2 linked regions of the Bombyx mori genome follow. The protein of the gene in region 2 purifies or fractionates together with the protein of the main gene of each other region. This does not show direct contact. Links are inferred from orthologs where the notes say so. Each region holds a gene or a part of one and is shown on either strand. Other genes may lie near its edges. The genes, in order: protein numb and AP-2 complex subunit alpha.

What was found.
Region 1: the proteins of AP-2 complex subunit alpha (region 2) and protein numb purify together in Drosophila melanogaster (affinity purification with western blotting; 5 studies listed by BioGRID). This does not show direct contact. The link is inferred for Bombyx mori from reciprocal best matches to the Drosophila melanogaster genes AP-2alpha and numb.

What each region holds. Positions count from the first base shown.
Region 1 is NC_085118.1:8,445,059-8,448,886, reverse strand, and holds part of protein numb, read right to left. Parts: exon of another isoform or gene 3,588-3,828; intron 1,776-3,587; coding exon 1,500-1,775; intron 306-1,499; coding exon 154-305; intron 1-153.
Region 2 is NC_085114.1:9,468,497-9,472,916, reverse strand, and holds the start of AP-2 complex subunit alpha, read right to left. Parts: upstream 2,991-4,420; 5' UTR 2,756-2,990; coding exon 1-2,755. UniProt on the Drosophila melanogaster protein: Adaptins are components of the adapter complexes which link clathrin to receptors in coated vesicles. Clathrin-associated protein complexes are believed to interact with the cytoplasmic tails of membrane proteins, leading to their selection and concentration.

The sequences.
Region 1 (3,828 bases), on a different chromosome or scaffold from region 2:
GGGTCAGCTAGTCAGTAATAAAATACGATCAGCCAATAAAATATAATTGGAAAACTAAACGGGATAAACGAAGCCCGTACGCATACATAGGCTGCAAACAAACAAACACTTATTTTTGTGTTTATTAGATAATTTTATGTATCAGTCAAATACCTAAATCCTCGTTCGTGATTTCTGTCGGGCGCGCAGAAGGACACCTTCTCGATGGTCTGATCTACTATCAGTCCTTTTGTTTCTTCTTCCACCACCCTCAGACCGTCGCCGCTCACGTGAAGGACTGCTCTAATTGGACGACGACGTGAATTCTGGAATATGTAAATAAACATTAAAGGACAATGCCCAAAAGTGGGCCAATTTTATGTCAACACTATTTGTAATAAAACAACTTAATTTTAGCTGCAGAAAAAAACAGATTTCTCTTAAACCTGGGTGAGAATATAAAAATCGTTTTCTAAATATGAAACGATATTTCTTTGTCTATCAAATTAAGTTAAAACCATCATGACTCGACAACTTTTTTTAAGGGCTCAAACGCTCTAAGAAAATGGGCATTGTCCTTTGCAGATATTGTTTCTTTAGATCAAAGTACGTTTTAATAAGGATGGGATGATTTGACAGATGCTGTCGGTGGAAGATAGCATTTCAAAACTTATTGACGTAATGAAATGTTGACGAAATTTTATTGCAAATTAATCTATCTATATGTTCTATATGTCTATATGTTCCCTATTGACTCCGAAATGGCTCGTCCAATCCTCGATGAATTTTTCAGGAAATCTTCAGATCGGTCGAACTGTAGTGATCGGACCTTTTTTTTTATCCTACCTAAGCTGATAACCTTGAGAGGCTATATCAGCGGAACCTTAACTAGTAGGTGAGCTCACGGGGCTCAAACCTGACGAGATCGGACCAAAGACAAATCAGAGATAGGCCAACAAAGCGCCCTGGATTTGATTGGTCAGTAATAATTATAAAAGCATCGTACAACCTATTAAATCGATAAACAATTGTTAATGATTTTAAAAGTCACGGTCGCTCGTTTCTCAGTCAATTGAAATTGGAATGTCCTGGTAATACAATGCTGAATTCATTGGTTCTCGTTAACGATCGAAATGGCAAAAAATCTAGTATCGATCTTGTAGGATGTAAATAACCGGTCCGATTCAAGGTCGATCACTTTAAACGGCTATAGATTTTTACTTGCCTTCGCAACTATAGTTTTGAACGTGTCCAATGTAAAAAAATAATTAATTTTTTTTTTAGAAGACTAGACATTATTGTCAGCCAGTTGTTTTCTTTTATTATTTTTTATATGAAAAAAATTGTTAATTAACCTAAAATGTTAGGATATAGGAATGGCGTTATAAATACAGTTGTATCGCGAAGTGAAGAGACGTCATTCCAACATGTCTTGAGATACCAGCCCGTAGACGTATAATAAATAGATTGAAAACAATCTTATTCTTCGAACTGAGTGTTACTAAATGTGTTGTACTGACCCTGAGAACTTTGAGTGCCTCTTCGCAGACCTGCATACCCCGAGACTCGAAGACCTCGACGCAGCCGAGATACTTGACGGGGAAAGTGCAGGTACCGGCACGAACAGCCGCCTCGTCGGCGTGCCATTGGTGCGGCCGCGCTGATTCCGGCGGCGAGCCCTTGCGGCGTCGGAACGACTCGCGGAAGGAACGTCGCAACCGCTCCATGCCAGCACGCGGCGGCGACAGCGCAGCGCCAGCGCGCGCTCGTCTCAGCGAGCTTCGCACTGACGATTTCTGAAAACACATTAGACACTCTTTACCAATCGCAGCGGATAAAGTGGCGGATGAAAGGCGATTGCATGCAGCAGAGATGCGAACGTTGCGATGGATGTGTGGAGTAACGAGAATGGATAGAATACGGAATGAATATGTTAGAGGAAGTCTGAAAGTGGCACCTGTGACAGAGAGGCTGAGAAGTGCGCGTTTGGGATGATATGGACATGTGATGAGACGAAATGAAAATGAGGTTGGTAAGAGAATGTTAACTATGAATGTGGAAGGACATAGAGGAAGAGGTAGACCTAAGAAATGGATGGATTGCGTGAAAGACGATATGGGTAAGAGGGGAGTGAGCGAAGAAATAGGATATAATAGAAGAGTATGGAAGGAGAAAACATGTTGCGCCGACCCCAGGTGACTGGGAGAAGGGCAAGATAATGACCATGATGATACCAATCACAGCAAAATTGAAGTTAATTAATATATAATTTCGTCATATTCTGACGAAAAAACCGTTATATACGAATTTTTGGATTTAAAACATGAAGCTAATCCAGTCGCGAATTAAGGTCAGACGAAGATAAAACGTTACTGTCGATTTTCAAATGCTTAAGGGCACTACGATAGTATCTTTTTGCCTATTATCTAATTTGGCGATGGAGAAACATAGATTTTAATTAATCAAAATAGCGAGGTAGAAATTTAAGTATCAATTTAAATATATTTTTATCAGAATCAGCTTTCGAATCTCTTCGAGTTCACTAGGTAAAGCGGCCTAATAAATCTGAAAAGTTTCTATTTACATACGCTATTAGGAACAGAATGTAATCATTTGCGTAATGGTGATAAATATATTTTACATATTGGTTATTGACAACACGCTCAGCATTCACGACCGTGTTAGGACATTACAAAATCAATAATTTTTTCTATCGAGATTTTGTAAATATATATTTTGGATTAGTCCGAGGCACCTTGTCAAATTATTATCTTATCCGATTGTTGTCATGTGATTATCAAATTTACTGTTTTCAGATTAATCAAGAAACAATAAAGAAATCACGATCGATGTCTACTGTGCCACATGGCTCGTTCCTTGTTGTATAAAACTATTCAGAAATTAAAGATTTTAGTCCGAAGATACAAAGTTACATACATCGTGTTTTTTTTCTTTTGGGAGCTTCGAATAAGAAATACGTAGAGGAAGGCACTCTAGGAATGACAATTTATAGGTTACAACTGATTTGTTAATAATAAGGTAATTTTTTTTAGGCAATGGCTCCACCTTGTCCTCTGATTATATAGGTACACCATCGCCTTGAAAAGCGATGACACCTTGAATTAATTATTTAAAATATTAATTCTTCTTTTTGTTCACCTTATCCCACTAGGTGGGGTTGGCACAGCTAACTTTTCTCTTCCATTCTCTTCTATCAGCCGTCAGCTCAACACTCACTCTTCTCTCTCTCATATCGTAATTCACACACACGCACGCACACTCCATACATGTCTTCTTCGGTCGACCTCTTCCTCCTCTATATTATTAATTGAAATATCACTTAAAATATTATAATATTCCAAATAATTATTTAAAAATGTACTTTTGTTGATTAATTTAATATTTTTGGTTTGTATAATTGTAGACTAGTTTTAGGAATAAAATGATATCTTAGAGATATACTTTGAGCTTTAAATAAGTTATCATGACTCCATCAACATTATGTGTCGGCACACGTCAGTTTCCTGATGTGATTCTTGATCTGATTCGGTATAAGGAATTCCGCATTCAAATGCCTGCACATTTCATTTAAATACAGAATATTTTTGTTTTTTTTTTTATTGCCCTTGTAGGCAGACGAGCATACGGCCCACCTGATGGTGAGTGGTTACCGTCGCCCATGGACTTCAGCAATGCCAGGGGCAGAGCCAAGCCGCTGCCTACCGTTTAATACTCTCCACAAGCCTCGTTTGAAGAAGGACATGTCATAGCGCTCGGGAAACACCGAGCAACCCTTCGATCAATAATACTACTAGATTCGCGATTAGCGCTTCAAAAACGGCCCGAAAA
Region 2 (4,420 bases):
GAGAAACTGACTCCTTACTAGATCGTATGGTTAGTCTGTACATTTGAGCTTGTTTGTTAGGTTCCAGTCTCATTAAACATCCAACTTGTTGCATCTTTGTATGGACAATGCCGGCACATACAAAGTTATCTGGATTAGGATCGATACCATCTAATAATTGCATGCCAAATCCAGCCAATTTTGTTCTTGTGCCAGTCAAATCAATCGGTCCCTGAGCTTTGAAAATCTTTTGGGCTCTCTGTTGTTCGCCTCCCAAATTTTTCCACCGTGCAAAGAATGATTCACCATTCATTTCAGTTGGTTCAAAGAATTTGTTAAGGGTGAGTGGGAGTTTCATTGTTATTTTCTGTGGTACATTGTTATATATAAATGAGACTGACATGCTTGGTACATCAGTAAAATCTTCTATACATTCAGCTGTCAACATTTGTTGGATTTGAGCACCTGCTTCCAATATAGGTTCCATTGGTTTCATTTGTACATTCAACTTATGCAAGTCAGTCCAATGTAACTCAGGATGGACATTCTGGATTGGAAATTGGGTTTTGTTGCCATAAAATAGGCCAATTCTGCCAAGATTTTGTCTGAACTCACTTTTAACACCAATTTGGATCAATTCATTTTCAAAAAGCACCCCATTGTTTTTAAACAAAAACTTTTTGATGTTATTTTGCTGTACAGTACTGGGGCTTATTTTTGTTGATGTGTACAAATCTCCAAGTACATCCAATAAGCCATTCCCTGTAGTAGGGGCTGCAGAACCAGGTGGTGTAGACAGTCCTAGGAGATCAGCACTGGAGCTATTAGTATTGTTAGTAGAATTTAGTATAGCAGTGGGAGCAACAGTGGGCAGAGGGCTCTTTGATTCTCTAACATCATCTGGAATACGACCTGGCTTCTTCTTTTTCAATACTGCTAAGATAGAAGATTCTCTTTCAGGGAAAGCAGGCATTTCTTCTAATACTGTGGCTAAAACATCTGTACTGGCTACAATACTAAGTTGCAAGTATTCTGATGCCCTTTGTTGCAACTCAACATCAGCTGAACGTAAATTAGAATCTGCCTTAAATACTTCTTGAACTCTATTTTTTATTTCTGGGAAAAGATTAACCAACTTTATATACGTTGATAACAATAGGGCTCTTGTTGCAACAGAACACAAATGGTATTTGGAATGTAGAAGTTCAAACTGAACTTGTGGTGATGATCTTGTATCTCCAGCTATCAAGTTACCAAACTCTCCCAGAATGTATCCTCCAACTTTAACCATATTCTCATGGCATGTTGGGGCTTGTAATGCTTCAAATACAGTTTTAGCAGCATATGCTTGAACTTCATCTCTATTTATTACTATTTGAATTACTCTGTACCAAACTTCTTCTGAGACATAATCACCAGCAATTCTTATAAGATTAAGAATTACATCCACATACCAAGTGAAATCTGTAGCATACTTTTCTGCTAATATAGCAACTTTTAACACCATTTCTTCTCTGATTGAATAATCAGCAGTTTCTAAATAAGCTAACATTTCTTGTACAATTTCTTCTGCATTAGTCTTATCACACATTGCATACAGAAGATCTACAGCCTGCTGCCTGACAGAAACATCTTTTTCCATTTTCATTGAGAGGATTACTATTTCTTGATGCTTTTTTACTGCTTCATGAGAAAATTCTGATGTAGCTAAATGACACATTGATTCAAGAGCTAAATAGCGCAAGTTAGTTTCACGATTACTAAGAAATTGTCCCAGCTGATTGCAAGCACGAACTAATAAGTTAGGTTCACTGTCGTTGTGTATAATAAGACTTATTGCTTCAAAAAGAACAGCATTCTTGGCATTGGAATGTTGCACTTTTTTAGATTTTGGTGGTTCTTGAGCTTTGTTGAATATTGTTTCTAGGCATTCTGAAAGACGTCCTCGAACTCCAGGTTCTTCAGATGGAGGGGTGTAGTTTTGTAAGAGGCGTAACAGTTTGACAGACAACCAAGGAGCAGGTACAAAGTAATATGTATAATCTTGTAAATCTGTGTAACTGGCAGTAACAATTCTGCTAAGTCGAGCTACAGCCAATGTTACACAACCCTTATACTCATCAGGATTCTTCTTTACAAGAGCATCAATCAAAGATGTCGCTGCAGTTACTACACCCATATGGGGGTCATTCAAAAGATGAATTATGCGAGAAGTCCACTCTCCTCCAGGTATTATCTCAGGAGATTTGCGAAATAAGCGAAGGAGGCAAAGTGCAGCAGATTGTTTCACTACATCCATGGTATCACCAGAGACAAGAAGTTTGGGTATTTCAGTACCAAAAGCTTCAGCCATATCTTTGCTACCAATGTTGGCAATACATTGAAGAGCTAAGTTTACATGAATAGGATTGCGAGACTGCAAGTCGTTTTTAATGCTCTGAATGATAAGTTTAATGAGGTCACTGTTGGTATTGACTAGGACAGATATGAAAAGGTATCCAATCTGTTTTTCGGAGTATTTATTGGATGAAAGTAAGTTTACTGCTTCCATGTGCCCGAAGTCGATATCATGTCCGAGCAGAAATATAAACAGAAGTTTACACACATACTTCTTCTTTTGATATCCATCTAGAGTTTTATCACCCTTAAACTTACTTCTTATATTTGCAAGCTCCTTGTTGATTCTCTTTATTTCTGCTTCTTTACTCTTACAGTTTCTTATGTCTGAGATAAAGACAGCGAGCCCTCGCATACCATCTCCTCTGACGGCAGGCATATTGCCAAGTGACTTATCGAACACCAGTTTTAAGCCTTTTCTTTACACTTTTTTAGAAATGAAATAGTTTAATTCTGCTAACACTATGCTACAAAGCGAACTACAAGAACCCGGTGTAAAATTTCAATAGCTATCGGCCGTCATTACGATTTAACCATGAAGATGAGCGCCCTCCGTTCGACAAATTCTACAAGTTCTACAACGCCTTCCTTTTTCCATAGATTGGAGGAAACGTCACAGAACGTTGTTTATGGATCAATATTGACCTGCACCTACACTTTCATACTTACGAATATTCGACTTTCAGATATAGGACATAAGGTCGGGTTTTAAAAAATTGTGTGTTCTCACTACTTAATTTGACAGCTGTCAAAAACAACGAGCAAAAAGTTTCGTTTTAAAGATGCCTCAGCCATGGATTGTGGAAATAATACCTACATTTTGTAATCCAAGGCGTTGCGCTTACTACATGAATTCGTACTTTTAATTTAAAGGTTTGTTTTTTTTTATTTTTATTAATAGTATTATAAAATATAAAATTCGTTCGATGCTTTTATCTTATTTTGAGATTGCCTAGTATAAAAAAGTACTTAATCAAAATCGATTTTTTAACAAACTGATTTCAATTCATTCTAACCCTAGTCTCAAGCCTGTAGAGTTTGATTTTGTATTTTTCACTGAAGTAGGAAACCTAGTATTTTTCCAGGCCATGTAGTCTTAAAAAATACGGTATGTCATTTAGTCATAGAGTTACTATTCTAACTGGAGTGCTTACTTCGTTTGACATAAAAACTAAAAATATACTTTATCTCTATGGCTTAAAGTTTATTTTTAAATAGCAAAAGATGTAAGGAAAAACGGTCTGAAAAGAGAATGACTATTAAGTGGTGGTGTCCCTCTCGCACATTTTACAAACAAAAAGCAGTGTTGCTAGCTTAGAGGATTTTCCACAAAATCTCGTAATTTGGACCCCTGTCTTAGTTATCAGTAGTATCAGTAGTAGCTTGGGCTTTTTTTTTATTGCTTAGATAGGTGGACGAGCTCACAGCCCACCTGATGTCAAGTGGCTACCGGAACCCATAGACATCTACAACGTAAATGCGCCACCCACCTCGAGATACAAGTTCTAAGGTCTCAGTACAGCTACAACGGCTACCCCACCCTTCGAACCGAAACGCATTACTGCTTCACGGCGGAAATAGGTGGGGTGGTGGTACCTACCCGTGTGGACTCCCAAGAGGTCCTACCACCAGTAATTACGCAAATTATAATTTTGCGGGTTTCATTTTTATTACACGATGTTATTCCTTCACCGTGGAAGTCAATCGTTAACATTTGTTGAGTGCGTATTTCATTAGAAAAATTGGTACCCGCCTGCGGGATTCGAACACCGGTGCATCGCTTCATACGAATGCACCGGACGTCTTATCCTTTAGGGCGTTGTTGAAAATTATCGAAAAGGTTAAAATCAATCCACTTTACAGGATTTTAAACATTTTATGACAATAATATATCTAAATACATATTATTTAAACGATGTGACTTAAACTTAACTAGAAAATGCTGCGAGAATTTAGAATTTCCATCAACGTCAAAAATTAAATTGGTTCAAAAGAAACGTACAAAGTCATGGTGAAATTAGTTGCTGATGATGACAATTTATTA